3 linked regions of the Drosophila melanogaster genome follow. The protein of the gene in region 2 interacts with the protein of the main gene of each other region in a pairwise test. Each region holds a gene or a part of one and is shown on either strand. Other genes may lie near its edges.

The links.
Region 1: the proteins of Nepl12 (region 2) and CG11007 interact in a two-hybrid assay, tested with the Drosophila melanogaster proteins (one large-scale study listed by BioGRID).
Region 3: the proteins of Nepl12 (region 2) and CG31522 interact in a two-hybrid assay, tested with the Drosophila melanogaster proteins (one large-scale study listed by BioGRID).

What each region holds. Positions count from the first base shown.
Region 1 is NT_033778.4:19,498,614-19,508,732, reverse strand, and holds CG11007 (uncharacterized protein), read right to left. Parts: upstream 5,666-10,119; 5' UTR 5,546-5,665; coding exon 4,730-5,545; 3' UTR 4,139-4,729; downstream 1-4,138. Other genes in the region: Ir56b (ionotropic receptor 56b), read right to left, coding at 1-566; CG16926 (uncharacterized protein), read left to right, coding at 7,681-7,804, 7,874-8,017, 8,094-8,209; CG15120 (uncharacterized protein), read right to left, coding at 8,454-8,614, 8,683-8,832, 8,943-9,114.
Region 2 is NT_033777.3:9,673,629-9,684,408, reverse strand, and holds Nepl12 (Neprilysin-like 12), read right to left. Parts: upstream 8,887-10,780; 5' UTR 8,858-8,886; coding exon 7,745-8,857; intron 7,686-7,744; coding exon 6,690-7,685; 3' UTR 6,631-6,689; downstream 1-6,630. Other genes in the region: CG9444 (uncharacterized protein), read left to right, coding at 426-459, 528-761, 1,243-1,471, 1,531-1,805, 1,868-2,073, 2,134-2,439, 2,498-2,887; nmdyn-D7, read right to left, coding at 2,993-3,692, 3,743-3,910, 3,969-4,135, 4,200-4,328; p23, read right to left, coding at 5,173-5,366, 5,433-5,689, 5,761-5,847, 6,323-6,339; Dhc1 (dynein heavy chain 1), read left to right, coding at 9,766-9,873, 10,613-10,750.
Region 3 is NT_033777.3:4,456,020-4,466,891, forward strand, and holds the start of CG31522 (uncharacterized protein), read right to left. Parts: upstream 6,865-10,872; 5' UTR 6,608-6,864; exon of another isoform or gene 6,601-6,607; intron 1-6,600. Other genes in the region: CG31523 (uncharacterized protein), read right to left, coding at 10,672-10,824.

The sequences.
Region 1 (10,119 bases), on a different chromosome or scaffold from region 2:
TGCTTCAGCTTTACTGACATGTTCATGTTGGCACTGAACATCAAGAGGGCCATAGCGTGAAGCACATTCCTGGTGTATGATCGGGTGGCATTCCCCGGCTCCCGCCAGTGCACATATCTCAGCAGGAGCGCGACATAGAAGGTGCCGAGGAAGAGGCATGTCCAGATGTACTTGCCCAGCGGCCACACCATGTACATCCACTTGGGCAGCTCGGGAGCCAGGGGTACCATAACGCAGTTCGTCATCAGCTCCAGCGGATAACTATGCTGCGTGGCGTTGAAGAAGTCACTGGTTTCCTCTGGCCGAATGATAACCCCATGGAGCGAGAGGTTGTACTTGCCGCTAATAATGTCCTGTTCCACCACCGATTTCTTGGGCAAACTCTCGAGAGAATCAAGAAACAGCTGGTAGTGGTACACCTCAGCGAAGTGCTTGACTATCTCCATGTAGGGACCACAGAACTTGGGCACCACAAACTGCGTTTCGTTGAAGATAAACGCGTGGGGGATGTCAAAACTATATGGCGAGCGGATCACTCCACTGGCCAGGTCCGTGTCAAGCAGCATTTTATGGCCGACTACGGATTGGCGTGCTCCTGGCCACATTTTATATGGCTGTCATATTATTGATGCCACACGCAAAAAACTGGCATTGGCAGACCAACTGGCACCCACGTGAATGGTTATAGTATACGAAATCCGGTTTATTTTAGTGCAAAGTTCAAAGATCTCAGATGTTTAATGACACGTTTTTGTGTCCTGCCGATTATCGTTCAGATTCCAAAGCCCGCTAACTAACCAACACATCGATAAAAAGGACACCCTAGAAAGTAATATGCCACTTATAAAAAAATATTTTCGCGAATGCGAACTGGACTTTGTTACGGATTCCCAACGGACCAACCCACATCACAACCTTTGTGTAGTTATTGGAGCGCAAGTACTTTCACCGCTCACAAAAAGCGTCCAGTTTTTTCTATAATCAAAAAACAGGCCACGAAATTCACAAAAAAATATTTGTATAAGGACTTGGCGAGTGTGGGAATGTGTATTTGAATTGGCAGCTTTCGTGTAAATACTTTTCAATTTTTTAGGGTTTCGACGGCACAAAACGACGACGATTTCCACCACACCCACACACACACACACTCACCTGTGTTTTACAAGTGGGCCAGAATAAAAACAAAACTGCCATTGAAATAATTCTGCACTTGAGGGTAATTACATTATCGTTAAATTCAAAATATAATGAAACTGGATTGTACAAGTTCAAATTGGCGAGCTTTGGTTGCCGGCAATCCAAACCTGTTCATGGTTTTATGAAAGCAAAAGTTCGCGTATATTCATATTTGTACTTGTTTCCAGCGAAATGTCTGACTTTTATATTAATTAATTGAAGCGCAAGGGTGCAACAAAGTATTAATCCCCTGTTATAGATGAATACAGACATCAATTTTGCAAACATTTTTATTTATGGCGAAATTAATGAATGCCAGTAGCTATGATATTCTATGGACTTTTCGTGTTTGCACACAAAAAAGTGTCGACATGAAATGGTGTTTCTGGCATATTTTTTTTCAGTTGCATATTTATTATCTGCAATCTGCTTAATTGATCATAATATATAATATTTAGTCTTTGGCCTGATAAGAGTAGTATGTTCTTATCACTATGGGGTGAGTTTTAGATAAGAAACTTCGTCAAACGAAACATATATAAGTTATAGTTAAAATCTGATTCAGAATAAGTAGTGAAAACTTACCTGAAAATGTCAGCAAATTGCTATTATTCATTAGCACTGCTAAAGCAAATAACTAAATATTTTAAATACCTAGAGATATACAACTTTATGAATTCCTTCGTAGCGTTCTAAATTTATTCGTATGTGGTTTATTTTGGGAACGTTTACCCACCATCCGGATTTTCGACCCTGCGAACAGCAAAACGATGCGGATAGCAAACCGAATTCAATCGAAACGCTAAGCCCAGCAACACGCCCACTTTCTGGCCCCCCAGCAAGCCCACTTGTGCTGGCTTGGCAAATTCCAATTAATTTATGAGCCAAAATCTTGTTTATCGGCTGACGGTTTGTCGGTTTTGTGGCTTTTGTCTGTCTTGCTCGAGTGCTTTGGACTTTCACTGCTGCGGTTGTTGCTGGTCTGGGTATTGCTGCGATTAGAGGCGGTAGTTGCTCCACAAACGAGTTGTTTTCGAGCAAAGAAATGCAGGCAAATAGCGCCAGCTTAAGCTTTAGTCTTAGCCACACATATACTATAGCTACTTATGAACGCGATTGACGCTCGTAAATTCAAGTGCCTTCATAGCCGTGATCGTCTAGTGGTTAGGACCCCACGTTGTGGCCGTGGTAACCCAGGTTCGAATCCTGGTCACGGCAATGCTGCAATATGCATTGTCACGGAGAAGGATCTACTTTTTTTTTTGGTGTGATCCTAATTTTATAAACTAAGAAATCAAGGCACAAATTACACTTTACTGTGCACTATTTGGGCCATTTTTTTAACCAAAAGGTGTTTTAATCCGAAAAGTATTTATCAGATCGGACTAAGGAGTTTAACCGCTTGTTTAAGGAGTTTACAAAATCCTTTAGCCAACTTGCATGTGAAATGTAACAATTTATTTTAAATTCCCATTGTCTTTCATTTATTGAAAGAGTTTAAGATAGATTTTATTTTATGAATCGTTGTTTTGTTCTTCAACGAGCCAATATCTACCTCAGAAATCAGCTCTATAAAATAGGCAATTGTAACTTAAAAATAAAATACTAAATCTCTTGGGCAATATATCTCCCAAGGATATTTCAAACCAAATTGATTTATTTAATCTCTTTTAAGCGCCACACTTTAAATAGTAAGGAAAAGCACCTGAGCTTGGCTTCAATTGTCCTGACTTGCGGCTTTTTCTGCAAACTGAATGGCGGCTGGCTTTGACTTGAATTTTAATTTAATTGTGAGCAATTGACAGAAATATACAAGAACCCAATCCAGCACTTCGACCGAAGGATATTAAGACGCTGCCAGCTGGTGTTGACATAAAAACGCAATAAAAATACTGCCACCGAAACGGAGCAGACGTAACAATACACAGTAAAATGAAATAGGAAGGAATAAAAATAAAAAGAAAATATATTCTATGATTTTCTTACATATCACCATTTAAAATATCCTTTAAAATATTTGGAATATACTTTAAATGATATCTTTCTTTCAAAGCAAAAGCCTTAAAATAACGTACATACCTATTACTTATTTTTACCAATATTCCCCTTAAATAAGATTCCATGTTCGGTGTACGTACAGGGTACTTGCCAAAAAATCACTCAAAATCAATTGAATGTGGCCAGCACCGGTTTTCCCGTGGCAATAAGGGAAATCAACGTGAAAATAGCGACAACAATGCGTTTTGTTGCCGCTGCGGAGCAAGTGCTTATTGGATTTCTCGTCGTGAGAAGCGGGTGACAGCCTTTGGAAATCATTACTGGTTGGTGGGAATGGGTGTGGGGCAACTGGTCTGGGTTGTTGCGGGTGCTGAGTTGGGGCGATACAGAGTGGCCCATAATTACTTCAGGACGGTGTGAATCTTGTCCCAATTGCCATGGCGAATTTAAATTTTCCGCAAATAAAACGGCCGTGTGAGACAATCGCATTATTTACCATATACAATTCACGTAAAATGCAATGGCCATTTTCATGCCGTTTCAATGAAAGTAAAGAAAAATACAAATATTAACCACAAAGGCCTTGCTCACATCTGTGGGGGGTGGTTGTGGGCGGTGTGCGGTGGGTGGTGATTGGTGTGCAGTCGCCTGTATTTATGCATTTAAATTCGTCCGTTTCTCTATACGTATGTGTGTTCATATTGAATGGATAAAAGGGATTTGCGTTTATTTCGTTCTGCGTCTGGCCTGTTGGGTTCTTATGTATATATATATATATATATCCATATACGATCTGTCTATATGGCCGATGTCTGCGGGGCCATTTCGGAACAGAACGCAACACGCCGGAAACATTTTTGTTGTGCCATTTGCATTGCCATACAATTTTGCTCAACACATTGGCAGCAACAACGGGCCCATTTGGTTTTATATTTCATAAACCGGGGGGATACGACGAAGGTTTCTGTTTTAAGCGGCAAGTCAGAACGTATAAAATACAATAAATATGTCATAAAATTGTGGGTTGTCACAAACACTTTATATACATTTGTACCGAAAACCAGTATGGGCACCTTTCTGAAACTATATATTCATTCTCTATATTTTCACTATTTTACTAGCTATTTGTATACAGCGTAAGTTCTTTATTACATTCTTTCAATTTACGCTTGTCCAGTCCATCTTAATATTTACTTGTTCTTAAACGAGCACCGGAAATGATCGTTTGAGCTGTGCTAATTGAATGAAATGTTAGACTCGGCTGGGAATTAAAAAAGAACTGCGTATTTTCGTTGACTCATTTCACATTTTTAAATATATTTGGTACCTGGTGATTAGCTACAATTTATGCAAATGCAAGATCATACAAATATTTTCTACAATGGCATCGCGACGAGAGCACGTCTGAGTTTAGAATGCAAATATTAGTGCAATTGTACGTGTCTTTGGCGGTGGCAGCTCCTCAATAAGTTAAAATAAACTATGAACTAAACGAATAACAGTTATTAGCACGTGCACGCAGAAATGAGATGGCACCAGTGGTGGACAGGACAGCCTACTGGACCTTCTTGGCCTCCTTGGGCGCAATGGGTAGTCGTTCGATGGCCTCCTTGTACAGCTGGTTAAGGCCAAAGGTGGCGCGCACATTGTCGCTGGAGAAGAAGAACTTTTGCAGTTTACCCTTGGAATCGACGCAGGGCCTGCGGTCCGTCTCCTTGCCCTGTTGGAACAGGATCACAGTTGGTAGCTGTCGGGAGAAGCTGCTGTCCGAGATGCGATACTTTTGGGCCACGTCCGGAAAGCGTCCAATGTCAATCTTGCCGAACTTCAGGTGGTCCGTGTTGTACTCGGCGGAGAGCTCAGCAAAAACGGGGGCGAAGTTCACGCAGCTGGGATTCCACACCGTGTAGAAGCAGATCAGCCAGCTGGTTCGCTTGTCCCTGGCCAATTCCTCCTCGAAGACCTGTGCGTTGCGGAAGTAGGTGATGTGCTCGGGTCCGCGATACGAGGGCTCCGGCAGCACCATGCCCACCAGGACGCATAGAAGCAGAAAGCCCAGGCCGTAGCGGAAGTCCGCGTAGGCCCACAAAATGGCGTTGGCCACTTTGGTGTAGAGGAACGACGAGGCCAAGTAGTTAATCATGGTGACACTGCCCGTTTTGCGTGACCGTATCATCACCACGATTAGCAGGAAGAACAAGATTTCCACCTCACGACTGTCCAGGTCGCATGCTTCATCCTCTCCGGCGAGAATAAATAGGCGGGTGCAGATGAACTGCGTCTTTTTGGCCAAAAGGTACGATATGGCCAGGAGTATGTTAACCCAGTAGTATGGCTTGGCCAGCAGAGCCATCTGCTTCTTCCACGTCATCTCTGCGTCCGGGGGCTGAATGCGCTGATCTGGGTCACGATTTTAATTAACAATTTCCCGAGTTTTTCTTTTCTTGCTTTTGACAGCCAATTGTTAATTTTAGCCTCGCCGTTGACTAGAAATTAGCAGCCTAGTTGTCTGGCACGGGCGTTGCCACCTGATAAAAGAACAGTGGCACTCTTGTCAGTGCTGGAAATGGTATTAGTTCGTTGGCGCCTTTTCAAATTCAAAATCATCAATTAACAGTTTGCCTTTCTTAAACGTTCTTTGATACGTTTTATTTACTTATATGCATTATTATCTTACAAGTATTTAGTATTTAGTATTTAGCATTTTTTTTAAATGATAATTAATCAAAAGTTAAAACCATAAACAGAACTTGGGACAACCATATTTGTTTGCCCGAAAACCAACCGAAACTGATAAGCGAGTTATTGTTACATCAGCATTTTGCTAAAGTCATTGAGAGATTGTTGACCTAGCACACAAAGGCCACTGCAAAAAAAAGGTAAAAAAAAGGCATCGAGGATCTTCATTATCGGCACACACGCCGAGTTCAAATCTGCGAAAAAGCTTGGCTCTCTACGTGATCTCAGACGCTCGTGGCTTCCATCAGTCGCCTTATCACCCAAATATTATTTTGGCCTTTTTTTTTGTAGTTCCTAAATTAAATGTGTTTGGAACTGTGTGAATACTGTGAGAATTTTGTACCCACTTCATAGAGCATCACCAGTATTATCGCCATCGTGGCTGACTCTCCGCGTTGTGCAAAGATTAATTTTTTTGTAGTAAACACTGTGCGCGTCACTGGACTAAACGATTTATTTTTAATCGTATTATTGAGACCAATTTACGAGGGTCATCTCCATGATCCCCATCGGATCGATCACCCACCTCTTTACTGGTTTCACTAGTAGGCCGTTCTTTGTTTATACAGCGATTATTTTATGTTCAATACACTGGCAAATAAAGTGAGCTTGCTTCTATTTATAGAATATTTTCAACTGTGTTATTAGTAACCTCCTTATCGAATCAAACAACTTTCTCGTGGCTTTATATTTAAATTCAACCAATCATTCACTTTATAGTAAAAAAAGTATTAACAAAGACACTAGAATAAGACAATAGAATAAGAATTCTAGTGTCTTTGGTAATAATATATTAAAAACAATTAACTTAAAACAAAATAAGATTTTTTCAAGTGCACTGTTTTGTACAACTTGATAGAAATGAAATAGGGAATCAATACAGAAAATATTTCGAAAATCCGAGATCATGACTAATCAAAGTCAAATCTAAGGTGTTGATGCTTTTGCACCTTGTCTGCGCCAAAACAAAAATGAAGTGAAAATTTCAGTAAACAACGTGCACTTAGGTCAGTTTTTAATAATATTATAATCACAAATGCCTTTGCCAGCATGCTATAGTGTGTTGGCAGCCGGATTAATCTGGTTTGGAATAAAGTCTCGTAAGATTGTCAGCCATTTGAGTACAGGGACACTCGTGATGGGAACGAGAGCCCTTCATCTTGGCTGCGGCTAAAAAGCAAAACTGGTCTATAGATCCAGGGCTCTGATAGCCATATCAAGTACACAAATCTACTTCCCAGCCCCATCGAAACTTCCCGTAGAGCTTGGAAACAAATAGGCTTGTGTGTGGAAATGACAAAAAAAAAGGCAAAACCAAAACAATGACAACTGCAACTGATAAGTGGCACAAAATGGCGATCACTTGCCGGCTTTATAATCGCGCTATCAAGGCAGCCTGATCTCCTGTCTCCCGCTTATCACTTGGCGGCAGCTCCGAGCCGAACCGATCCGATCCGAACACGCGTTCTATAAATTCCATTCCCAGCCAGGCGACGTCTTCAGTTTAAATCCGAACCCTTGTGCTGAGTGTTCATCTCCGAGTAGCAGACATAGACAATCGCAGACAATCGAGCAAATCCCAGAAAAAACGACAGGCATCAAATGCCAAATCCATCGTGCAAAGCTAACCATTCCAATTGGCCTAATCTGATTCATAGTTGAAATTGTGATAAAAAACAAAAACCAAAGAAACTGGGACACATTTCGATCTAAGCGAAATATCCCCTATCCCACAAACTTTTTCCGGACTTTCAGTTTGGCCTTTGAATGCTGCTGCAGCAGTGCGGAAAAATCATCAATCTCGATCAGCATTTCACCGAGTGCTGGAATACAAGCCCATTGCGAAACTTTGACTTCATCATCTCCCTTCTGAGCGTTATTTCCCTAAGTGGTGGGTGGTGATTTTAGCCATGTATTTACAATGTATAACTAACTTTTGATGCTCCTCCTCCGCCTCCAGTTGTTAAGATGGCCGCCATTCCACAAGGTGCATTCGCAGCCTGCAAGATTCGCGAGCAATTCAACGAACGTGAGCTGATCATCGCCCGTCTGAGGTCCGCTGCCGCAGATAAGGGTTCCGTTGACAACGGGAACGCCCTAACCCGTAAGTGCACATGACGATCCACGATCTCGATCCGCTGGGTCAATGGAGCTCATACGCATCAATTTTGCATTTCCAGAACGCGAGTACTCGCCCAACAAGTACAACGACAAGCTGATGAACTCCATCTGGGGATTGTACAATCGCTATTCCCCCCACAATGTGAAGAAGAACGAGTACGCCCCCACCAAGTGATGACCTAAAGTGGGGCCACGTTCGCTTCCAGCTGACGTGCCCCAAACGCGACTAGCATCCCCACCAGGATGTTGGTCAAAATCAATTATATATTATATATACACAACTATAATCTCAAGCATATATCGATTTAAACGCACATAACACTTTGGTAACAAATATCTATTTAATGCTGTAATGTTTTGTAAAATTCAATAAATACTTATGATATTGTATGTAAAGGGACAAGACCATGAGGCGTAGTTTAATTTAAATAGCAGGACTCGTAGGTCGGCACCATGTACTTGATGTTGATGAAGGCATCCTCGCCGCCATGCAGTTCCAGCACCTGCAGCGTCTCATCGATCAGATCCCCCAGATTCAGATTGTTCTTCTGGGCATAGTCGATCTCATCGCCGCAGTTTACTATACAGCACAGAATATCCACTTCAATGGAAGTTACTGGAAGTAATCGAGTTTAGTGGAATACCTACAGTTTTTCACCTTAAATGCATTGAACATGGGCAGCAACTGGCGGTAGAAGGGCACCAGGGCGGGTCCCACCAAATCCGAGGACATGACCAGCTGTTGGATTATCTTCAATGTCGTGCACATTACCTCCAGGTTTCGTGTGCTCAATGCGTCTGCAAATGGGGGCGTATTTGGTTTTGGTTTTGTGCTCGCATTGGCAAGGTGCAAATTAGACCGAAAAACTTCGAGGCATTTGCGTGCCAGCCAATGCCCTGGTACTCACTCTTCAGCGGCAATATTAATTGCGGTATCACCGGGTGTATCTTCTCGCCCCCGGCCAAGAGGAGATCCGTGACCCCCTGGCGGGCATAGGTCTTGTAGGGATGTTTCGTCTCCGCCAGTCCGTCGAAGAAGAGCGGCAGATAGAGGCTGTAGTCCAGCTTTTCAATGTCCACCTAGGCGAGATACGGGAAGAGGTGACACCGTTGGCGGGTCAAAGGTGAATAGAGCCGCTCCAAGTTCGAAATTGGTTCGTGTACCGGCGGTGGCGCAAGTCTTGCAAGTGTACATTTGCACGCCATGCCGGTTAGGCGCCCTAGCTGATTTCCATTAAGATGCTCTTTGTTTGCTTACGTTGTCAGTGGAAAATTTTTAGAACACATCGAGAAATGGGCCTGTACCTGCCTATAGACTTTGCAGTGCTAAGTCTAGACTAATCTTTGTTCGAGAGTCTGCTTTGAGTATAGTTACCAGCTTAGCTTAGTTGATTTGAGCTAACAAAGGGTTATAATATAACCCACTATCTTAACCAGATTGTATTGCATATATGACTGAATGACTCAGAATAGGAATTTTACTTTGATTTTAAGAAGACAGCAACTTTATATTTAAGTCAAAGGCGACATCGCTGGCATCGCAGCTGCGTGAGCCTCACATATGGGTTTCCCCAACATCGACCTTCGACCCCGTGACGTAAATCAGGCAGTGTCACTCACATATCACTCTCCTGTCACGACGGCATTTCGGCCTAGATAAACAAACGCACCACCCAAATGACATACGCCGCATATGTGGACTCCACATCGAATATGGAGTGCCATCCAAGGTCTGTGACATTGAACCAGCCAAAGGGGTCACACACACACTCATGCGAGGTGGGTGGGAATTGGTTACACATAACTTTCCGATTGCAGCGGAGTTCCATGGGAAATTGACTGACAGTTGGACGGTGCGACGTTTTGAATGTCAGTAGTCGCATTCCGGACGGAATCGCTTGCCCGTCAGCCGTGGAGCTCTACTAACTCCGGAAATAGACAATGGCATATTATTTACTCGGTTTTTGCTTTCACCTGCAACACTTGAAATAATTGGACACGCAGGTGTACGAAACTCGAGCTAAATTCAAATATGGGCTTTGTCTATGGGTCACCGAGTGGTAAGGTTACCCCTTTCTAGTGACA
Region 2 (10,780 bases):
GAGCCGAGTCCCGTGACTATGTTTGCCTCACCAAGCGTGGCTTGTTCTTATCAGTAGGCTGTGACAGATAACCTGTGTCGTTGGCGTTAACTCCCTAGTTTTAAGACCGCGGTCCATCGTAACTGCATCGAGCAGCATCGTGTCGTGACTGCCCTTTATCTCATTGTTTGTTCTGTCGGAGAAGAGACTTTTTAGTAGCTCTTGGACCGCCCCGAGCAGCGGTCGTCAGTCGCGGCACAAATCCGACGTCCAAAACAATACAGCTTGTTGTGGCACACCAAACGCGAACGCTTACGACCCACAAAAGCCGCAGCTCTGTAACCCGATCCAGTCTGAAGCGCTTTCAAGTCAACAACTGGCCTAGGTCTCTGCTCCCTCTCCGGTTCAGTTGGTCTACGTCGGATTAGGCGTGCAGGCTGTTGAAAATGTTTCGCGCTACGGAAATCGGCAGCGAAGAAAGTGAGTCTGCAGCTAGATAAGATAAGACAAGAAGCGCAGGTAATCCTCTCTCTCCCTATTACATGTAGCCCTGCCAGCTCTGGCGGAGCTCAGCCAGGTGGGTTATGAACGCGATGCACGGGACGTGGAGTGGGTCGCCTGGAGAGGAGAACGGGCCCAATTGAAGCTGGCGCATCGCAGCTCCCTGCCCAATTATGGATTTGCTCCACCGACCATCCGCATGAAGTATAGGTATCCACGAGCCGTCTTCTTCGTTCTGGCCACAAAATTTTTTGAGGCCTTTGCTGCCAACGGCATTCGCAGTAAGTTTCCAGATTTCCATCCAAAAGCAGATAATCGATTTTTGGTCAGGTCAAAGGCATTCGTCGGCAAAGTCTGGTTGAAAAATTCCGAAACCAGGCTTATCAGCGGCACAGAAATATAAACACAAGGAGGTCTTATTGACAGTCAAAAGACCTGTGATGGTGCATAATATAAGAGGCATAGATAAGATGAAAATTTAGGTTGCAATTGGCAAATAATGGGCAGGAACAAGACCTAGCATTTAGTTACTTAAAAAGAAAATCTTCAAAAATAAGATAACTGACTCAAGATTATTATTATTGTTAATTAAAACTCCTGGAATTTTCCCATTGATGTGAATCTTAAAAAGAACATCCATCATTAAAGAGATGGCTTAACGAATTTCCAATTAAGTCTCAATGCTACAACCTTTATTTCATGGTCAATAATTCGAGATTGACTGCAGCCTGACCCACGATTACGATGTATACTCGATTCCAGCCGTACTCGCACTCTATCTGCGCGACGATCTCAACTTCACGGAGAGCTTTTCCACGGTGGTGCTGCACATCTTCAACTTTTTTGGCCAGTTCTGTCCGATCATTGGGGCGATCCTAGCGGATAGCTACATCGGCAATGTGCGCACGATATCCGGCTTCAGTTTTATCTACGCCTTTGGATGGTTACTCCTCACACTGACATCCCTGCCTGCCATGGGTCTTCCGATGGTGTAAGTACTCGCAACGGATTAGGATGAAGGATTTAGCTTATTCCACTTGCGACTCGTAGCTTGCTGGTGTCCATCGCTCTGCTGTTTATCGCCGTTGGCAATGGATCGATACGAGCCTGCATCACCTCGCTGGGCGCACTGCAGTTCAAGCTGCCGGAGCAGAGCGTCCATCTGGCCGAGTACTTCTCCTTCTACTATTTCGTCTACTATTTTGGAATATTCCTGAGCAAGATCCTTCCGCCGCTGGTTAGAGCTAACACGCAGTGCTTTGACAAGGCGGAATGCTATCCAGCCGTATTCGGCACCCTTGGCGCAGCCTTTATGATGGCCTGGTGTAAGTAACTATCAGTTTTCATAGCTTATTTCTATTTAATTTACGCATGCTTGTGGTATTAGTTATCTTTCTGGTTGGAAAATGGTTCTACAAGTCCGAAAAGCTGTCCGATGACAACATACTCTTCAAGTTCTGCGGCTGCATAAAGACCGCTCTCGTGGAGAAGTGGCGACGTCGCAAGTCGACAAAGCGCTCCAACTACTGGCTACACAATGCAGTTGTAGCCTACGACATGGGTTTCGTCAATGATGTGTCCAGAGTTTTGAGGGTCAGTTATACTTGTGTTATAATGAAGATTCTTTCAACTTCATAATTTCGTTTCTTTTAGATATCCAAGCTGTTTATCCCACTGCCCTTCTACTTTGCTCTGCTGGCGCAACAGGATTCCAGCTGGACATTCCAGGCCACCCAGATGAATACCACATTAATGGGCGTGACCATCCAGCCGGATCAGGCCAAGGCCGTGGGACCCATCTTTCTGTTCATGCTCATCCCTCTATGGCAGTATATAACAGTGCCCTTGCTGCGCCGCTACTTCAACTGGGAGCTCCAGCCGCTCCATAGTGTGACTGTGGGTGGGATCTTCTCCGCCGGCGCCTTTTTCTGTGCAGGAGCCTTGCAGGAACGAATAAAGGTAAGCAGGAATAATAAGATACCTCACCTGATCGTTTATTAACCCGAAATATTCGAAGAATTCCCCGCCCCAAACAGTGAATATAGCTTGGCAACTGCCCCAGTTCCTGCTGCTCATGATGGGCGAATTACTGCTTTCCATTCCGGGTCTCCAGTTCGCCTTCACCCAAGCACCGACCTCTATGAAGTCGGTGGTCACGGCAGCCTGGTTTCTAAATAATGCTTTCGGCAATCTGATCGTGGTTCTGGTCACCGAGCTGGGTATGCTTAGCTCACAGATGGCCGAGTACTTCTTCTATGCGGTGGTAATGCTAGTTTGCATCATCCTCTATGCCCTTTTGGCCTTCGATTACACTCTGCAGGAGCGCAAGGCCGGAATGTATGTGAGGATGGACAGTGAAGCGGAGGACCGGGATGTGCCCAGCACCAGCCGCAGCGGGAGCATATAGGAGAAGTTTCTACGGTCTAGTATTTTCATTGCACTTGTAATTTATTGATAAACGCACACAGGCAAACATGCATTTAACTGAAAACAAATAAAAACTAAACTAAGATCAGTCGATTATCTTGAACATATACTGCAGCTCCAGGTTGGAGTCATCTGGCAGATCAGTGCAGTGGACGGCGTTCTGCACCTTGGACTTGCCGAACTTGGCGCGCAGCGTGTGAGGCCGCAACAGTTTGGCGATCTCCGGATCCATGGGTCCACAGAAGTTGCGGAACTCGCGATCAGTTTTCTTTTCGGGATCGGCGCAAGCAATCTCCATGCACATGCATACTCCACTGGCCAACTGAGCAACCATGGGTATATACTCGGGCACCACTCCGCGGTAGACTTCGTAGAACTCCTCGCAGTTGATTCGGGCCATTAGAATCATGCGCATGGCTGTCAACCGAAAGCCATTCGACAGGATTTCGGAAATGATGTCTCCCAGGAGACCATCCTTGATGCTGTGCGGCTTAATGATGGCAAGTGTTGTATTCTTGAATACACATTCTTTAATTATGCTGTGCCTCGCCTCAGATATGAACTTTAGGTCCATTTCCACGTCGTTGTCGTTATCAGAGTAGTAAAATCCATAACGAATCTCCTCACTTTCAAACAGCTCTTCCAAACTGGGCGACAGTTTCACACTGGGTGTTTCCGCCTCTGTGCTCTTGTACTGGGCGCAGGCCTTGATGGTCTCCACTACGTTGTCGCCGATTAGCTCCAGACTAATGGCCGGACCAGCCAGCAGCTCGTTCATAAGGACTCTGGAATTTAGAGGATAAGATGTGTTCCTTGGCATGCCATCTTTACTCACGAAGAGGAGACATCCGTCGTGTCCTTGCCGGACAGAAACTGAGTTACCATTTTGGGAGAGAACTGAACCATCATGCCCTGGTTTATGTTAATCTTGTTGTCGATCAGAGTCTTTAGGAACTTGCCCAGGTGCTTCGTCCACATATTGTTCTTGAGCAAAACGAATCCCCTGAAAGAGATGGGAATTACAGATTAGCGAGTGGATAGCTGTCGATGAAGGAACATACTTCTTGCGATATTTGGCTAGGTTTGTCCGCGTAGTGTCGTCAGCATAATCCACAATGTCAAACTGCCGGCCAAAGACATTGATCTTGGAGCCCACAAAGAAGTCGCGCTGGGTCAGCTCCGGGATCTTGGTGCGTCGCAGAAATGTGCGCTTGTTGCGCTGGTCGAACTGAGGGAAAACATGGCCTTGGTTAAATGTGTTTCTTTGAAGAACTTGTGCTACCAATCCTCACCACTTCCACGGCCTTGTCGGATACATAGTAGGTGATCAGAAAGGTGCGTATGATTCCAGCCTCTGCATGGAACCACTCGGCCACGAAGGCCAGACGCCGCTCGCTAGCCGGAATCGCAGCGGGTTTCATGGTATCGTTTTGAGGGGAATCTTATACCTTGCTTTTCCGTTCTATCGCTTGACAGCAAGTCCTTTATTTCGAGTGATAACTGTTTGTTTGCTTTGCATTTCAATTGTGCTTCTTCTTTCCCGCGTTGTCACAGCAACAGTGTTGCCAACATAACAAAATTCATTTAAGTGGGCGCAAAATTTAAAGAAAAAAATACCTATGTTAATTTTAAACCCAAATTCTAGGGGATTACCCATAAACAATTTTTAACCATTACCTATAATTTCTTTTTAAAATCGCTATCTATTCAAAGATAAAGCCTTCTTTGCGACATCTTTAAGAAGCTGGACTGCGCATTCCGAATTTAACAGTTTAGAGATTTCTAGAACATTTATAGAATGTTGTAAACTTATAAAATATTGAAAATAAAAAGCCGAATATAAGTTTTTCATTTTTTTTATTGTTAATTTCCTTTATTTACAGGAAACAAAAATAATAAACTGCAAACTGATTTTTGCAATAAATTGGTTGTAGCTTTCCTCTGGTTGTTAAATTCTAGCGTAAAACTTATGGTTTCCCTTGTCGGCGCCAAATCATCTTGTTCCTTGTGTTGCTTTTTGTTAACATCTCTCCTCTGAATACGCATAATATTCAGGTATATTAAATGTGGTTTTCTTCGATTGGAATAGTGTTTCATGTACGCATGCGTTTGTGGATGTTTTATGAGTGATTGAGTGTTTCTTCTTTTTCTTTTCTGGTGTGTATGTGAGGAGTGAGTGTTGTGATCGTGTGCTGACTTATGGTATAAGAGCCACGCCTAACGCTACGACTACGCCAAATTGCGAGACACCATCTGAGCGACCGTCTAGGCAGCTGGCTTCTTCTCCTTATCACCCTCGCCGCCCTCCTCGTCATCCTCGTCGTTCTGGGACAGACTTGGGATGTTGTCATCCGAGTCCTCCTCCTCGTCATCGACGTTGAAATCGTCGAACTTGTTGTTCCAATCGCCACCAGGGCTGTTAAGGAAATTTCCAAACATGCTGTTGTCTTTTTGGTCACCTGCAAAGTGCGTTTGTATGAGTGGGTTTGCTGGATGAGATCTTGGGGATGAGGATGTCAACTTACCCTCCTCGTCGTCGGACTCATCGCGCCACTTGGCAAAGTTGGCTTTTAGGAAATGCAACTTGGTCTTGTCCGTGGTCAGCGAGGACCAGTAGGGACCGGCCGCCTTCTTGGGTATTGTGAATTCCAGGCAGCGGCCAATGTTCTTGCTGGTCACCTTCTCGGGATCCACCTCGTGGAGGAAGTTCAGTGTGACCTCGTACTTCTTCGACGGATCCAGCACGTTTACGCCCTTGAAGGTGAAGGTTTTTTCCGTAACTCTGTTTTGGGATAAATATATGGAATTAGGATGTGCAAGGAGCATGGACATACTACATATGGGGGCATATACTTGTGTTCGATGTCCTTGCATTCGACATCGATGATGACGTAGATCAAGTCATTGCGCTGGGCCCAGGAAACTGGAGGCGGAATCAAGCTGCAATGGAGGATCAAGTTGGATAAACATAAATAAGAGCTTCATGTCGTTGTGCGAGATCCGTTGCCATGGCAACTCGCGTCGGACTTTCTGGAAGCGGGTGCACGAACTATGTAAATAGCTTCCCAGCTAGCTAGATTTGCATAAACCATAAGCCCAGGCAAAAGTCCATGCCGAAAATGCACGGCATTACCGCCAGCCGAAAACATAACCTCAAACACTGGACCCTCCGATTAGTTCCACAAATATCGCAATGCAGATGCGCACAGGACACGCCCACCGTGGACACAAACGCTTGGCCAGGCGGATGAGCGCGAGAATAAGGGTCATCCGAACGAAAATTATGTGTTTTTCACGGCCGGGAGTTCGAAAATGGACGCCGCCGCAACGACAAAGCACGCGACGCACAAAGAAGCCACAAAAAGATGGTCCGGCTATCGCCGATTGGCACTGAGATGGCCGGTTGTGGACTCACCCTGCTGCTGCCGACATTATGTTGTTGCTGTGAATTGTTGGTTTATGTTTTACGAAGTCGGAACACTTCTGACTGACAGCCTGACTTGGTTACAAAAAAAGGCAGTTTCTGTTGAACAAAATTGTCATGCACAAAATTGACATGAGAAACAGAGTTACCGAGCGCGCTGCGGAGATGTGACTAAATTTGAACGGTGCTCTGGGGTGCGAAACTTCGATAGTTGTACTCAAACCACAAATGTTAGCTTGTTACGTGTAACGTAAATTTGAAGTGTTGTGTCAAAACATTTTACATTGTCGGTAAAAAGTATTGAAATCAACTTTTATTTGGTTCAAGGAATTTATGATGATGATTATAAATCTATGATCTACCAAAGTCGGCACGTTTTGGCGCCAGGACGCATGCCGCTGCCCACGGAGCAGTTGTAGGCGTGGAAGAAGTCCTCGCTGTTGGACAAAACTCCCAGGACACGAAATTGGTCGAAGGTGTGCACATCGCTAAGACCTTTCCAGTAGTGCTCCTCCTCGTAATGGGAGCAAAATAGCTGGGCAAATCCCAGGAAGAACAACTGTTCCGGCGTGAGATCGAGACCCGGCATGGCGTCGCTTATCCTCTCCTGCCCAGGATGCTCCAGCAGTTGCTGCCTGTGACTGCGATAGGCCGTCAATGCTTGTCTTAATCCGCTATTGTCTGCGATATTCTCGTCCAGTGTAGTTTTTCCGTTGACACGCCTGCTGATCTCCGGTACCTGGTACTTGCCATAGTAGTCCATGTAGCACTCGGCGCGATCCTCTAATGCCTGTTGCGAAATTTCCGACAACAAGGACTCCATGTGACCATTGCCATCGAAATAGGAGCTGGTCGTATCGAAGCCGTGGATGAGTTCATGACCAACGATAAAACCCAATGTGCCGAATTTCAGGGAAATCGGCAGGTGGCGTTGGTATATCGGTGGTTCCACCACGCCAGCCATCACATTAATGGAGTTGTCCGGAGTGTAGTAGCCCGCTCCAACCTGCAATCCTGTCAGGATCTTCTGTGGCTTGGTGTCATTGGTCAGCTCCTGAAAATGCCGACTGCTAAATCGATTGATTTGTACAACTAGGTGCTGCAAATTAATGTTGGTCTCCGCATAGCGATCCTCGATGACTTTCAGACTGTTGATTTCCCGGATTATTCGATCCGAAAGTGCATCATCTTGGAACGAACCAATGCGTGGCTGTATTCTGGACTCCTTAAGCAGTGCCCTCGCCCTGCTCTCCGCATCCAGCCAATCGGCATCCTCCAGCGCCTTTCGCAGACTCTTTCGCAGTTCCCGCACCATTTCCGACATCTCCAGCCTCTTCGCCTCACTGAAGTTGTTCTGTAACACAAGAGTGTTGAGATTATTTGGTATTCTCATCATACGCATTCGTTACCCACAGCCATGTAGAGTTTGTTGAACAGAAACCGCATGGATTGATAAAGCGTAACCGAACAGTAGTTCCTTTGGTACCTGGGCGCCTTCAGTTTGGGATCGAATCTATAGAGCAGCTTCATGGCCAGGTAGTTGGCCACAGCCTTGCGATGTCGGGCGCATACTTTGTCCAGTTCAACGTAGTAAAAGTCGCAGAATAATTTGTTAGTGGAGTGGAGTCCACTCCACGAGATGTTATAGTAGTACTCCGATTGGGGAAACACTCGCTTAATTCGGTAGGGATCAAACACTTCGCACTGGGGCGGGATCTCGAGTGCGTCCCGCCAGAAGGCAAAGACCCCAGCGATGGCCTCCCTAATCCTGTCCTCCGGCAAGCCGAACGCCCTCAGATATCCGTGCATTCGCTCTTCGTTCAGGCGAAAGGCGCGTGTGGTATTTCTGGAAATGTTTTCCTCATGTACGATGATGTGATCGAAGCCCAGTTCGGGCAGTTTGGTGTAGGGCTCAAAGGGATACCTTAACTGGAGAGTTTCGCGGATCAGACCGTTGGCGCCATAGTTGGCCAGATGAGCACTCATGTTGATCCAGTTAAAGTTTGAGGCTTTCCAGGCGTCTCCATCCACAGCGGGAAATCCTCCAATCGATCGAATTAGACTCAAGTAAGCGGGATCCGCCGCATTGAAAGGATGGAGATTTGCTCCCAGACAAGCGTTGTAGAATCGCTGGGCCACCGCCAGTTCGCTGGATACGTTTAGAGCCTCCGCCAGATCCATTCTGCCCAGCAGTTGCTCCGTGATGTCGATCAGTGTGTAAGTCACGTCGCCCAGGTTGCTTCTACTGCCCGGTGAGTACCGATCCGGCTTTACGTTCCGATAATTTCCACAGGCATACTCGTAGAAATTCTCGCAGGGCTCTACACTTTGGTTCATATAGGATTTCATGAATTCCGCGTATTCCTGCAGTTGGTACTCTGCCGCGGATCTATTGGTCGAGCTACCATTGCTATCGGAATTTTCGGACCTGTCCACAAGGCTCCTGGCCTCGCAATCCGTCAGAACCGCAGCCACAATGACCCACAGCAGCATCAGGGAGATCAGCTTCAGTGATTCATGAAACATATGCGTATTTTATGGGAACACTTCTCAATTGGAACTTATAAAACACACTGATTTAAATCGCGAACGAAAACTGGCAGAATCCCAATAAAATCAAGAGAGCAATAATACAGAGATATAAAAAACCCTTATCAGTAGAATGTGCAACGGATTGTTGATAAGGAAGCGAGTAAGTTTTTGTTTACAATCTGTATACAAATAAGAGATATTTATTGATATTTAGTATTTACATTTTGCAAATTTAATTCCTGTTATCTGCAACGAAAGTGAAAGGAAGTGAATATCGGGTGAATAACAACAGCGGAGTAACAGGTGGTTAACAGATGATAATAATACTGTTGACTTGGTATTTTGATATTTTAACATCTTAGCTATGTTGCCTTGGTAACATGGAGTTTGTTTACAATGTTTGTTGGTTTGGTGGTTAACAGGTGTATCCATTTAGTTAACAGGTGGATAACAGGTAGTTAACAGGTGGATAAAGGGTGGATAACAGGTGGTTTACAGGCGGATAACGGGTGGAATATGAAATTCCATTGACAAAACATGTCAGTTCTGTTGTCGTGGTAACGTGGTGCCAATTTCCGAATTTTTGGTTTACATGTCATCAACAGGTGGCTAGTTAGTTGCTAATAATATCGTCGATCGACGAAACTTCTCAGATCTGTTGCCCTGGTAACATTAAGCTTTATTCAACTTTCAATTACTGTTGCCTTGGCTACTGGGAGCGTATTTCGAGTGTTTATTCGATAGGATTTTCATCTTATTCAAATCCACAGAGGCAAAAAGTTGTGCAACGCGCAGACAAAAATCGAAAAACGCAGTAAATCTATAATGATTTTTGAATAGAGAGAAATTCCGAGTATCTTTGATTTTTGGTGAATTTGCTTTTTGCTTAGAGTTTCGGCGAGATGTTCGTGCAAAAGAAAAAGTTGGTGGAGCATGTTCTGGCCATGCGAGCCGAAGGGGGCAGTAGTGATGATGATGATGAGGAGGAGGACCAGGGCGACATTTTGCAGGTGCAAATCCCGAATCACTAATTACTAGACGTATTGAGTGCTAGTCGTGCTAATTAACCCATATAATCCTATGTTGTTGCCTTAGATTATAAATACAAAAGTAACCTAGATTTTCCTAGAAGCCCTTTGACTGATTACGTAATCGCATAACCTGCAAGTTGCGAGTGTAAATTGCTCGTAGTTGAGGCTCTACCCATGTAATATCTTTCTAATACACCAATCTTCATTTCTTTTTAGCTGAGTAACCCAAAATCCACATAGATGCAACTGTAAAGAACTTCACTTCCGTTGCTGCAAAAAGATAACCTAGTAAAATGTTACGAAATCACCTTTCAACTTATACTGTATAGCATTTAGAGGTCACTACTTTTGATTTTTGCATTACTTCTGGTATTTTATTATCATGCTATATGGGTAATGTTGTTGTAGATTTTTGAATGTAGTATCGAACTTTTACTAAGTTTACTATGTGCCATTTTTGAAACTAACGAACTCTTGGTCTCTTTCGTTTTTGAATTTTGAAAACCGAACATTTTGTAAACACCAAATTGTTTTACGAACTGAAATCAACAATACCTTTTTTTGTACAACCAAAAACATTACCACCACTACGCACTGCAAAATATTGATCGTTAAACTATTTTCTGGAAACCAAACGGTTTCACGAATGTCTGACCTGACAACACGGATTCGAATATAACGAATAAACTTTTGAAAAATGGACCCTGACGAAGCGCAGCGGCGGCGCGAGGAATGCGAGCGAAAGGCCCGACGTGGGGAGATGGATCCCCGGCTGGAGTTCACCTTCCAGCTCCTGATCGATGCCACCCAGCTGCCCAGGCATCAGCTCATGGACTACATATTCGAAGGGGACATGGTAGGCGCGTCACTTGCCACATGGTATCAT
Region 3 (10,872 bases), 5.2 Mb from region 2:
TTTATGAGAATTAGACTAAGGCGTCATTTCATTTCATTTACTTTGAAATTTAATCAGCTGTGTTGAAATACTAAGGAGATCTTCAATAGACCATAATGGTCCACGCAACCTGCAGGGCAGGGTTAGTTGTCATGAGCTTGACCCATTTACATTCGACATTGCCAAATAGAAGCCCAAAAAATCGTGGCCACTGGCCATTTAAACGTGGGCGTTATTGGAAAAGCTTTTGGGCATGAGAATTCGTAGATTCGGCGATCGGCGGCTTCTGCTGCCACTATTTTTGAAGCTTCAGTCAGTTATGGCCTCAGGTGCTGACTATTTGTTTATCTACTGGCTATTTTAGTAGCGCAAAAATGCAATAACATTTGGGGTTTATTTGGCTTGGTTTGCACTACATCTAGATTCACAGTGTGGAAGCTAATAAAACTGTTGTAACCTATCCGCTTGAAGGAATGATTAAGCCAAGTCAGTAATGTTTGTAAACTATACTTAATTTAATCTAATGAATTGCAGTTTAGATGTGTTCCACAAAAAGACTCTTATTAAATTTTCAAATTTGCTTGATTACGATGCACAAATCGAAGCAAGCATTCCGAGAAATGAGATATCCAATCTAAGCGCCAATATAAGGCAAGATTTTCATTAGCGTTTTTTAATGATAGTGGAATGTGCTTAATTATTAGCTGTAGTTGCACACTCAACGCTGTGTAGAGGTGCATCAATTTAAAAGTTCTAATGACTAAGTGCGCTAGCATTGACTTTATGTATAAAACATTAGAAATGGCTTATTGCAAGCGTTAGCCTTTTCAGATCTAACTGAAATTCACTCAACACTCGAGCCACTTAAATTTCGCATTTTAATAAGGTGTGCTCGAGTTCTCAGCCAAAAGCAATATCAAGCAGAATAGTTAATAAAGATGCAGAGATACCAAAATTACGAGCTGCGACAAACTCAAAGACAATGGTAGAGCCAGCCGGGGAAAAAAGAAATCTATTTAAATTGGACTTAAGTTCGGGCCGAATTTTTGGGGAATGTTGGCGAGGGAAACGATGGGCACTTTACCTTTTGCGCAATAGAAACGTCACCGCAACACTCAAAGCACAAAGCCACCTTTCAAATTGAAGGCTTAGTTAGCTAATGTGTGGTAATGATAATGATTATGGTTGGCAAATACCCCAAACGCCAAATATGAATCGTCAACGGCCTCGTGGCTTCACCATCGCCTCCGAAAGTGACAGTTGGAGACGGAGATGGCCCAAAGAAAACGCCCTTAGATGGCCCTTACAATGACTTTCTCGACGTTCCACGTCGGTAGCAGTTCCGCGGGCCATAAAATCTGCGGCTGCGGTAAACGGTAAGCAATTTTGGACCCTGAGAATGCCATGAAATCGGGCTAAAATCAAGTCAACTGATAATGGCCAGTTCATATAGCCTCCGCCGACATCCGCGAGCACGCCCACCAAGTTGGGGATCGGTGGTGCTGCTTGGCTAATGGCGGATGAGGCAGCTAGTATGATCTGGCTGGAAATAAAACACAGTCAGGCGTTACGCTTTCGCAATCGGCGTGCAAACACAAAAGGTGTATGGAAATCGTCGAAACAGTACTACCACAGTAATGCGAAGTGACAGCCATGTCGGAGGTGGCTTCTTTGCCCTTTTCTCAGGTCCATTGCTGCACACACCCAGGTGGGAGCTCGCACGGGAATCGTGTGTCTCGGCTTGGCTGACATGATCTTCTGCTATTTCCCCAGATCGGGAGCTGTACACCTGTGCTATCACAGCTTCCAAGCCCCATTATTTGCCGCAAACACACCCAGCAAAGCCAATAAGCCCCAACCAGCGTTTCGAGAGGGCTGTTGAGGGCATTCGCCGACTGATTGGGATGAAGTATTTATTTCTGGTTTTGGCCTCTAACTCTGAGAGTGTAAGAATGTAATCGAAAGTTGTTTTCGCCGGTGGCCGCGCTTGGCGCAATTTGTAGCTTGTTTACCTCTGGAAGCCCATAGCGAGCAAGCAAAGTTTACCTTGCTCCAAAGATCAACGGTCCACGTTGGGCCGGACCACTCGAGCCTTCCAAACAAAATATTGGATTAGCGTCCAACATCCGACTTCGAGCGCAAGCCTCCGTAAGTCAAATATTCGATGCTCAACTTGGGGGCGGAGCAAAGGGTCTGGCTGAAGTGCACTTTGGCCCCACTGCGACTGCGGAAGGAGGGCCGAACTGTGAATAATCAGCAGTTAAACATGGGGGCGGGGGCTTTAATTATTCGAGTAGCCGTAAAATGCAGTTTCATGATGGCACTCACCAGGCAATTACCCGATGATGGGCGTGAATTAGGAAGGAACCGCCTGACACCTGCACTCCGCAGGTATATCATCACCAATCGCCAACGGCGACTTTGTCGCCCACAGAGCCTGAGAATCTACTGCTTTATTGGCAATAAAACGGCTTAACATTCGCTACCTGAAGGCCTCCTCTTGGGATCGCATCTAACTTCGTAATTCCATAGTAGCATTCCGCAGCTAATTACCGAGTGCTATTATCGGCATTACTGGGCGGGAATCACCCCATGACACCTGTAAGACCAACCACCAATCGGCTGTCGAAAAGAACCTAATACCCTCTTCCGATGTCCCATAAAACGCGACTAAGCCGGCGCGAGCTCAAGGCCTCCTCTGGGGCACATTTCCCAGCTTGTCCACTCCAAGGTAACTCTGCTAATAGCCACTAATCTCTGTTGAAACTCACACTAGTTTCGGCCCATATAGCCACTTCCACACTTCCACATGTGCGTGTGCTCATCTCGCGGCGCATAAACCGCAAATGAGCGATTACAGGCTCTCGAGATTGGCCGGAATGGAGCTGGCCCTCGGCCAAGACAATGGTCGGAACTGGGAGTGGCGGTATGGGGAGGGGGCACCATTTCGGAGCTGCTCGACAGCTCAATCGGCGCCGCTTGGCGGGGTCTTCAACGCCATCGCCTTTGGCGTCGGCGTCTTCATCTTCAATGTCAAAATCCTCGAGTGAGAAGTCAGTGCTTTGTTGACAGATTTATTGCGAGTAAAGTAACCGCGCTGGCGCGAAAAATGTTCATTAAAACGAGCAGCGCAAATGCGTCGTATCCGAGTACAATTGCCTTTTGTTTTGGACATATTAGTCAGTAATTTGGGCAGGTCTGATCACTCATATTTTCGCCATGTCAAGGCAAAGCCCGATCTCAATGCTACTCGCTGGATCGGCCTTTTCCGCCCTATTGCCTGTTTGCTTCCGGGACAACTTGAATTTCGCCTAATTAATTCATTCCGAATTATTTGCATGCAACGCGACTGCAATTCCACGCGGAAATAATTACCATGTGAAAAGCTGTTGACTCTACTAAGGTAGCTACGGAAAGCCTGAAATCAATCGATTTCAATCAATTCTAGCATTAAGTTCCCAACCTGTTTGCTAAGTGTAACGAGGTGTAAGCACATTCTAAACATTTTCTATTGATCTTGCTTGAATTGCATTTACACGAAGTGTGTTAACTAACTTGTTTCTATTAAACCATATTGGCTGATATTTATTTCCCACAATTTGGCCAAACAAACAATGCTTTCAGCATTTTATAAAAACAAGAGTAATCACTTTCATCGAGTTCCTGACTATCAGATACCTATTACCCAGCTAAAGGAAGTCCAGATGAACTTGGCTAGTTCGACTGCCTAGTCTTTGTTCGAATACACATACATATGTACATATATACGGAGGATTGCGAAGGATACATTTTTAAATTGTCTTCGGCTACCTTAGAAATTATCAAAACATAATAGAATTCCGGAAACAAAAAGAAAATAAAGCGTCGAAGATATGCTTTCTATCAAATACATTTCAAGTTCAGGTCTACCCTACAAGTATTGTGTATAATAATTAATTAGGAATTTATAAGGAATGTACCCTAGTCTCGAAAACCATAAGGAATACTTAACCATGGTATTGGACTTATATTTCTGAAACGGAAGTTTCTTATAACGATCAATTTGTGGTGTTCTTCTAAATGTTAGTCTTATTGGGCATATTGCAGCTCCTTTTCGTTTTGCTGTTCGCGCTTCGGCTCACTAATTAAGTCAATTTACTGACAAGCTATTTAACTAATTTCCCGGGGTTTCAAAGACTGCTGTTGTAAACTCTAGTTAGAGTAGAGTAAGTCTAGTTACGCTAGTTACTCCAGTTTGTCGAATCAAATCGGGGAAGTTGAAACTCAAAGCAGAACTAAGGTAATGCAAACCGAAGTGCAAGCTAGGTGATGTCTCAACTTGTTTTAGTGTCATGAACAAGTTGTGAGTATCTTCTGTCTAAAGTGCGGAGATGTGGCTGATAGTGTTGTTGCTTCTGGAATATTTTTAATGCCGTACACGTCGCAGACATAGGCGGACGAAATTCTGTTAATTGTTTTCATTAGTCACTGCAAAACGCTGTCTTCCAATTGACATTATAAGTAGGTACGTGTGCTTATCCCAAGTAAAGTCCCCTAACATCGCTGTGGATGGCAGTTTACGTAGTGACGATGAGAACCGAGAGTCTGATCAGAGCCATTTATGTATATCGTGATCGAATAATCTTTTGATGATTTAAATCTCTTGTTGAATGATGATTAGCTAGGAAGAAGGGGGAGCAATTCTAGTTATAATTCTTGTATTTATAAAACAAGATTTGAATGACATTTTCCAAAATGTGTTTGTCTGCAAAATTTGTTAAAAAAAAGTTTAACTAATTGCCATTTTAGGACTTGAGAAGTGTCATCGTCACTTTAATCCCACATATTTGGAGGTGTTTTTTATAAAGTTTATATACAAAATGTTCGTATTGTACAAACTGGATTGCTACCAGATTAAGATACGAAATCTTGCTTTAATCCAGGAATTGTACGGGTATTGTTATTGGCGCTTAACTGTAATGTAGTAATTGTTTAAAATATTCGAAAACTGCCCAAGACATTTTGGTATTCAAGCGGCGGCCTATCTATCGGTTAGTGGCTTTTATGGTCGGTAGAAGTATATATATGCATATATATGCATATGCATATATATATATATATAATGGGAGTCAGACAAAAGTGTATGCCCTTCTATTTTGTATTTATCAATACATTTAAACCGTTTGTAATGCATTCAATAGCAAACATAATAGCAAACAATAGTATACATATAAAGGTATACTTTCACGTAAATGTAAACGTTTACGGCTCTTTTCCTAACACTTGGCTTCCGCAAATCGCAGTTGTTAGCACGCCCCATTGCGCTATTCGATGTGGAAGCGAGATCCTCTTCTAGACAAACAAACTTTTGTGTTTAAATTATTTATAAGTAGAGAGTAAGCGGTGTGAGCCAGAGCTGCGGCCACGCCGGCGAGCGTTGAGCGATTTAATGTTTGGGTAAGTTTTGGCTGAGGCTTCTTGAGGCTTCTTGAGAGTCGGGCCTCAGATCTCGGATCTGCGATCTCAGGGGATTGGCGTGTAGCCTGTAAATTCGCTGGAAACGCGGCTACGTGCGTGGCATTTGAAGAACGGTGAGCGCGAAAAAAACCCAAATGGTTTGCATATGTAAATACGGAAAGCGAAATCCCAGCTTACTGTTTGAAAGTATTTGCCACCTTAGTGGCATCCGCCGAGGAGCGCCTGAGTGGCTCCAGTCCGGGTAAGAACAATGAGCAAGCCCTTCTGGGCGGTTCAATTTATGATGTCCAATTACAGCCAACGCGGAAGCGATCGTCGATCTGGAGCCATTCACTACCATTATCCCATTATCGATCAGTAAGTCACAAGACCTCGAAAGTCGGTCCCAGAAGCGGTTTTCGTTCGACCACCTCGCCTGACTGGGAAACACTCAAGGAAACTTTTTGCCACGATCAGGATGCCCTGCGACAAGTCCAAGGCCAAAATCGGGTCATTGCAGATCCGGTTTTGTGCGAATCGTTTCCGCACTTGTTTCGAGTTGCCTTGGATTACCATTTTGTATATTTTTAGTGCAAGAAAAACTCTGGCAATTATTCGCGAAGGGCGCACTAATTGCGCTTCTGCTACTTTGGACCCAATGTCAACGGTGAAAAGCTTTACGATGCTGGCTAATTCTTATGCATTATCTCGAGGGGTCAGCAAAACAAAACCTATCGGTATATTGGGAGTCAACAGTCCAGAAACCAGAACAGCTGCTCAAACAGCATACAAATCCGCCCAGCTGTTCGTGGTCTGCCGCTGCGCTGCCAGTCAGGCCAGGGCTAAATCCCGCCGGAATCCCGCCTGCGACCACACGTCGAGGATTCTCCAGAGGTCCTCAGCATCGGATCCTCGCTGGGAATCAAATGCCCCACGCAAGCTGATTTTGTGCAACCGCCAAATGGCAGGGTTGCCACACCATTGGAAACACCGGATCGAACAGCCCGATTGGCCAGTCAAATCGATTAGCTCGGACGATCTGCGCCTTATAGCCGGGCAGATTGGCCAGAGCGGGGAGGTGTTTTGGCGTGGAGAGCGCCGTCCAAAATGCTTATTGTGAACGGACCAAGCGCCGCGCAGTTGCAAAAGAGCGAAAAACAAAAATCACATGTGCGAACAACTTACAGCTTACCACTTGCAAACAGCTCGAAATCCGCAACGGAAGGCGGCCAGCAGCAGCTCGGTTGGTAAATCGCTGGCAACCGAAATCTGAAAACTAAAAACTGCAAAAACCACAACACACAAATTGCGCGGCCCGAACTATTTCACAAAGTGTTGCCAAAGAACTTTGTAAAATGATTACTTTCGCAATAGCTTTTGGCTCTTGGCTTTCGGCTTTCGCACACGGGATCGGTGACTGCGTCTGCGATTAGCGCGCGCTTGACTTCTGAATGAAAACTGAGCCGCGATCGCGCCGCGCGGCTAATTAAACGCGGATCGCGCGACGCCGACGAAGCGGAGGCGCAGGCGCAACCGCGAGCGCCAGCGCAGGGAAGAACGCCACTGGCAGCGCAGCGGCTGCGGTGGAAACGTTACGGTCAGCGGCAAGCACCGACCGAGTGCAGTGCGAAAACTTTCCGCCGCCGAGCGTCAAGTGCAGTGCACGAAGATGGCAAATGGCCTGATTGGCTCTTGGCTATTCCCGGACACCGGGAATGATGCGACTCGATTCAGATCCGGAGATCCCGAACCCAAGACCCAAATCTGAACCCGAACCTTGTTTTTTTTTGTCTGATGTCAGCGGCGCAGGCAAGGTTCAAGTGTGGCTACCGTCGCAATAGCAATCGCACACTGCCAGCGAGTAAATATTACATGGAGTGAACTTCCGAACAGCCCCGATACCTGGCCTTTCACAGCGTTAAATCATCCATGTTAATTACGAGGCGTACGATTCCTGCCCGTGTAGGTGATCTGGCTTATAATCATGGATACGCACAGATATACGGCCTTATTCGAAACTTTGGGCCAACCGTATGACCAACAATTAAGAATTGCTTGGAACATGATGAAAGAGTTTTCGCAAAATATGGGGTGACTTAAGATTTATTGTCTAATTATCCTACAATTATATGTTCCAAATCGATAGTATTTAAGAAAATAGGGGTTTTATTTTTATAGCGGTCGTTACTCGCAGCTTTTGCCTGAATTAATAGTTTTTTTCCAACAGTTTTTTTAATTCTCCAAAGTTCATTCCTTGTAAACGAAATTCGGATACTTGGTAGTAATAATACAATTGATAATTGGTCAGGGTTCAGTGTTTGGTCACAACGCATCAAAGGGCGCGTGCCAAAGTGAGCTGGGAAATAGTTATTATTATCTAACGCTAACACTAGCCTGAAGTGCCGATAGTCTCCGTCGCAGCTCCAGCTCCAAATACGCCGGTGCATTATGATGCATTAAGTTATGTCAACTTGGCTAACATCGCGCCCTGTCCGGCTGATGCGGCAAGAGTCGAGAGCCGACAAGGTCAAGAGGGGCTTAAATATTAGCCTGTACAGCCCAGCTGTCGCCGCCTGTTAGCGGATTTGTTTGCCAAAAATTAGTACGCGTCTATTAAGTACTGGCCCATTTGTACATTAAGTCAGTGGCAATCTGTATTGTTATTTGATTTTTTCGATTGTTTGGTACGTTTCTGCACTTTTGCACAGCCGAGCGTTCAACGATCATCGTAAAAAAAAAAACAAGAGAGATCTTGACGTTTATACGGTCTATTGGTCCTGATGAAGTAATATGTTCTTTATCGAGTCAGAAAAGAACATAAACTGCCTACCTATAGTCTACCCTTTGACTCTACGGGTAATGGGTATTACATTTTAATCTGTTGTTTGAGACAAAACAATTGTGAAAAGCAAATAATCATTTGCAAACGCGTTTTTAATGACATGTAGCACAAATTATGGGCTTAGGTAAAGTATTTCAAAAAATGCTTTTTAAGGGACGAACAAGACGCCCAAAAGGTTCCAATTTAATTTTAACATATGTTTGGTAGTGGGGCTCAGCCAAATTTTTTTTTACTTTTCTCAAAGTCTTGGTATGTAATCGCTTGATCTTTTACGCTAAGATCGGACTACCATAACCGCTTTAAATTTCTTTCTTTTCAACGAATCTACATATATACCCTTTAATTCTGAAAATGACGTCATAGTACTGCAGACGCAAATAAGCTACAGGTGCAAGGCTAACTTCCTTTCTCGTTGCGGTTTAAGTTATAAACGTCGCAAGGAGTTCTTAAATTAAAGTTAAAACTTAGCAACGACGTAGTTCAAAGGACTTTTCTTGTGGAGGGAGACACTAAATATATCCTATAATATAGTGTTATTGGTTTAATAAATATAATATAGTTTTATTTGGAATATTCATGTAATTCATAAAATATTTATGATTTGGTTCACTACTTGGTCGTATAAAGTGGGAAATGTGAAATTTGATTCATGCTCAGCGTAATTCCTAATGCGATTATTTCAAGAGTTCTTTTTTATTAAAAGTTCAAAAGGCACATCAGGTGTTAGGCCTGGTGTATGCAATATTAATTCGGTAGAATTTGTAAATTAATATGTGACTTGTAAATAAAATATTACACTTGACCCATTCTCGGAAATTTTGTTAAGTAAGCAACAGGCATCTGATAGTAAAGGCATTATTTTAAAGCCTTTATTATTTCTAGATTTTCGTGGCTGGCAAGATGCCTTGTATTTCTCTGAAACAATGTCCAATCTCATTAGGGGATAGGCCACATGGGTCAATTGCCACACCCTCAGAGGCTCTAAAGCCTCTAATTATCAGTTATAAGTGGGAATACACTTAATGTGTTCGTTTATTAACAATTACACTGTACACTGGCCCCAGGGATTCAATCCCGTCATGAAAGTTATACACACGTACAAAATATGCGTTAATACAATTGAAATATTTTCTTGAACAGTTTTAATATAAATTAAAAAGCTTTATTTAGGTTTTCTATAGTTTTTGAACTTGTCAGCTTAAGCCACATAATCTAACAACGAAACCATACGCACGGATTAACAGACAGAATTACACTTACAAATAATTTGTCACCAATACTTCTCACTGCGCTGAAAAACCGTTTAACAACTTCAAACCAAAAATGGAAACAAGCGGATATTGAATAGGTAGTAATAAAGTAATATATATGAGCCACACCAAAAAGAGGTTCAATGCAATGCGAAAATAGTTGAAAACTTTTGTTAAGATTCATTTACATTGGTCGGCAACCAACTAATAAACTGATTGTCTTCGTCCTTAAGCCGGTTTGCACTTACAGTATAAAAGCTTTATCTCCATGATCTTTGTCACTCTTTCTTGTCTGACTATAGTGTGATCTTCGGTCCGGTCGTCCGTTTAGTTGTCACAATTGTCCAGGAAGGCCAAGGGGAGGTCTGGGTCGTGCTGCATTTTGCAATTGGCTAGCTAGCTACAATGTATAAATAAGTTTAACTATTAGACCTTTACAAAGTATTGCAACAAAATGCCGTTCTCTCTCAATATACAAAACAAGCTACAAATAGTATAACGTCTTCTTTGAGTTTAGAGCAGACTGAAGAGAGCATGTATAGCTTTCATATATCATAGGTTCGGCCGCCGTAACATCTCAATTTGTTATCAAAAATGTTCATACAAAATTTTACACCTAAAGTGAGTATGTATGTATGTATGTCTTTGTTGGTGTTTGTATGCGGTAAGCTACACTATAATTGGTATCTGTAGCTGGTTTAAACAGGCTTTATGGCTCTATAAATATCGTTCAAAAAATAACTTTTCTCTGCGCACCAGAGGCGTATTTGTGCTTCAAGCGGGACGTTCATACTGGTGCCGTAGGACATGTTTGTAAAAATGGTTTGATTATATCTTAGTTTGTGCTGCCGCTTCTCTTTCTACTTAGCTTTAGTTAATGACGGTTCGGGTGGGTGGGCATAGGTGGCGTTTGTTCGGTAAGTTTCGGCGCATCCGATTGACTTTTGCCATAACTGATTTTATGTATTGTACGTATTTAAAATATAAATTATCAAAAACAATCCATAAACCGAGCTCTATTAATTTTTCGCTGCTGTCGTGCCAATCGTCTTCTGCTACTTCTGCCAAGTTTCTTGCTCGTCTTGTTCTTCAATCTGGTTCAGTTACACGCTAATCACTTAACATAAACATAATGAATATCATCGTAGTACACCTAATCAGCAGTTATTTGACTTTGCGCTGGTGCAGACTAGAACTACTGCTGTCCGGGTTGAAGATGGCATCGTTGTTGGATAACACGCCCTCCTTGAAGAAGCCCTCCTTGTAGGCACCATTCGATTGCCCCTTGCTTTTGACGTACTCGTCCTCCATCACCGGCTGAAAAGAAAACACAGAGTGCTCAATGAGTTCAATGGGTTCAGACTC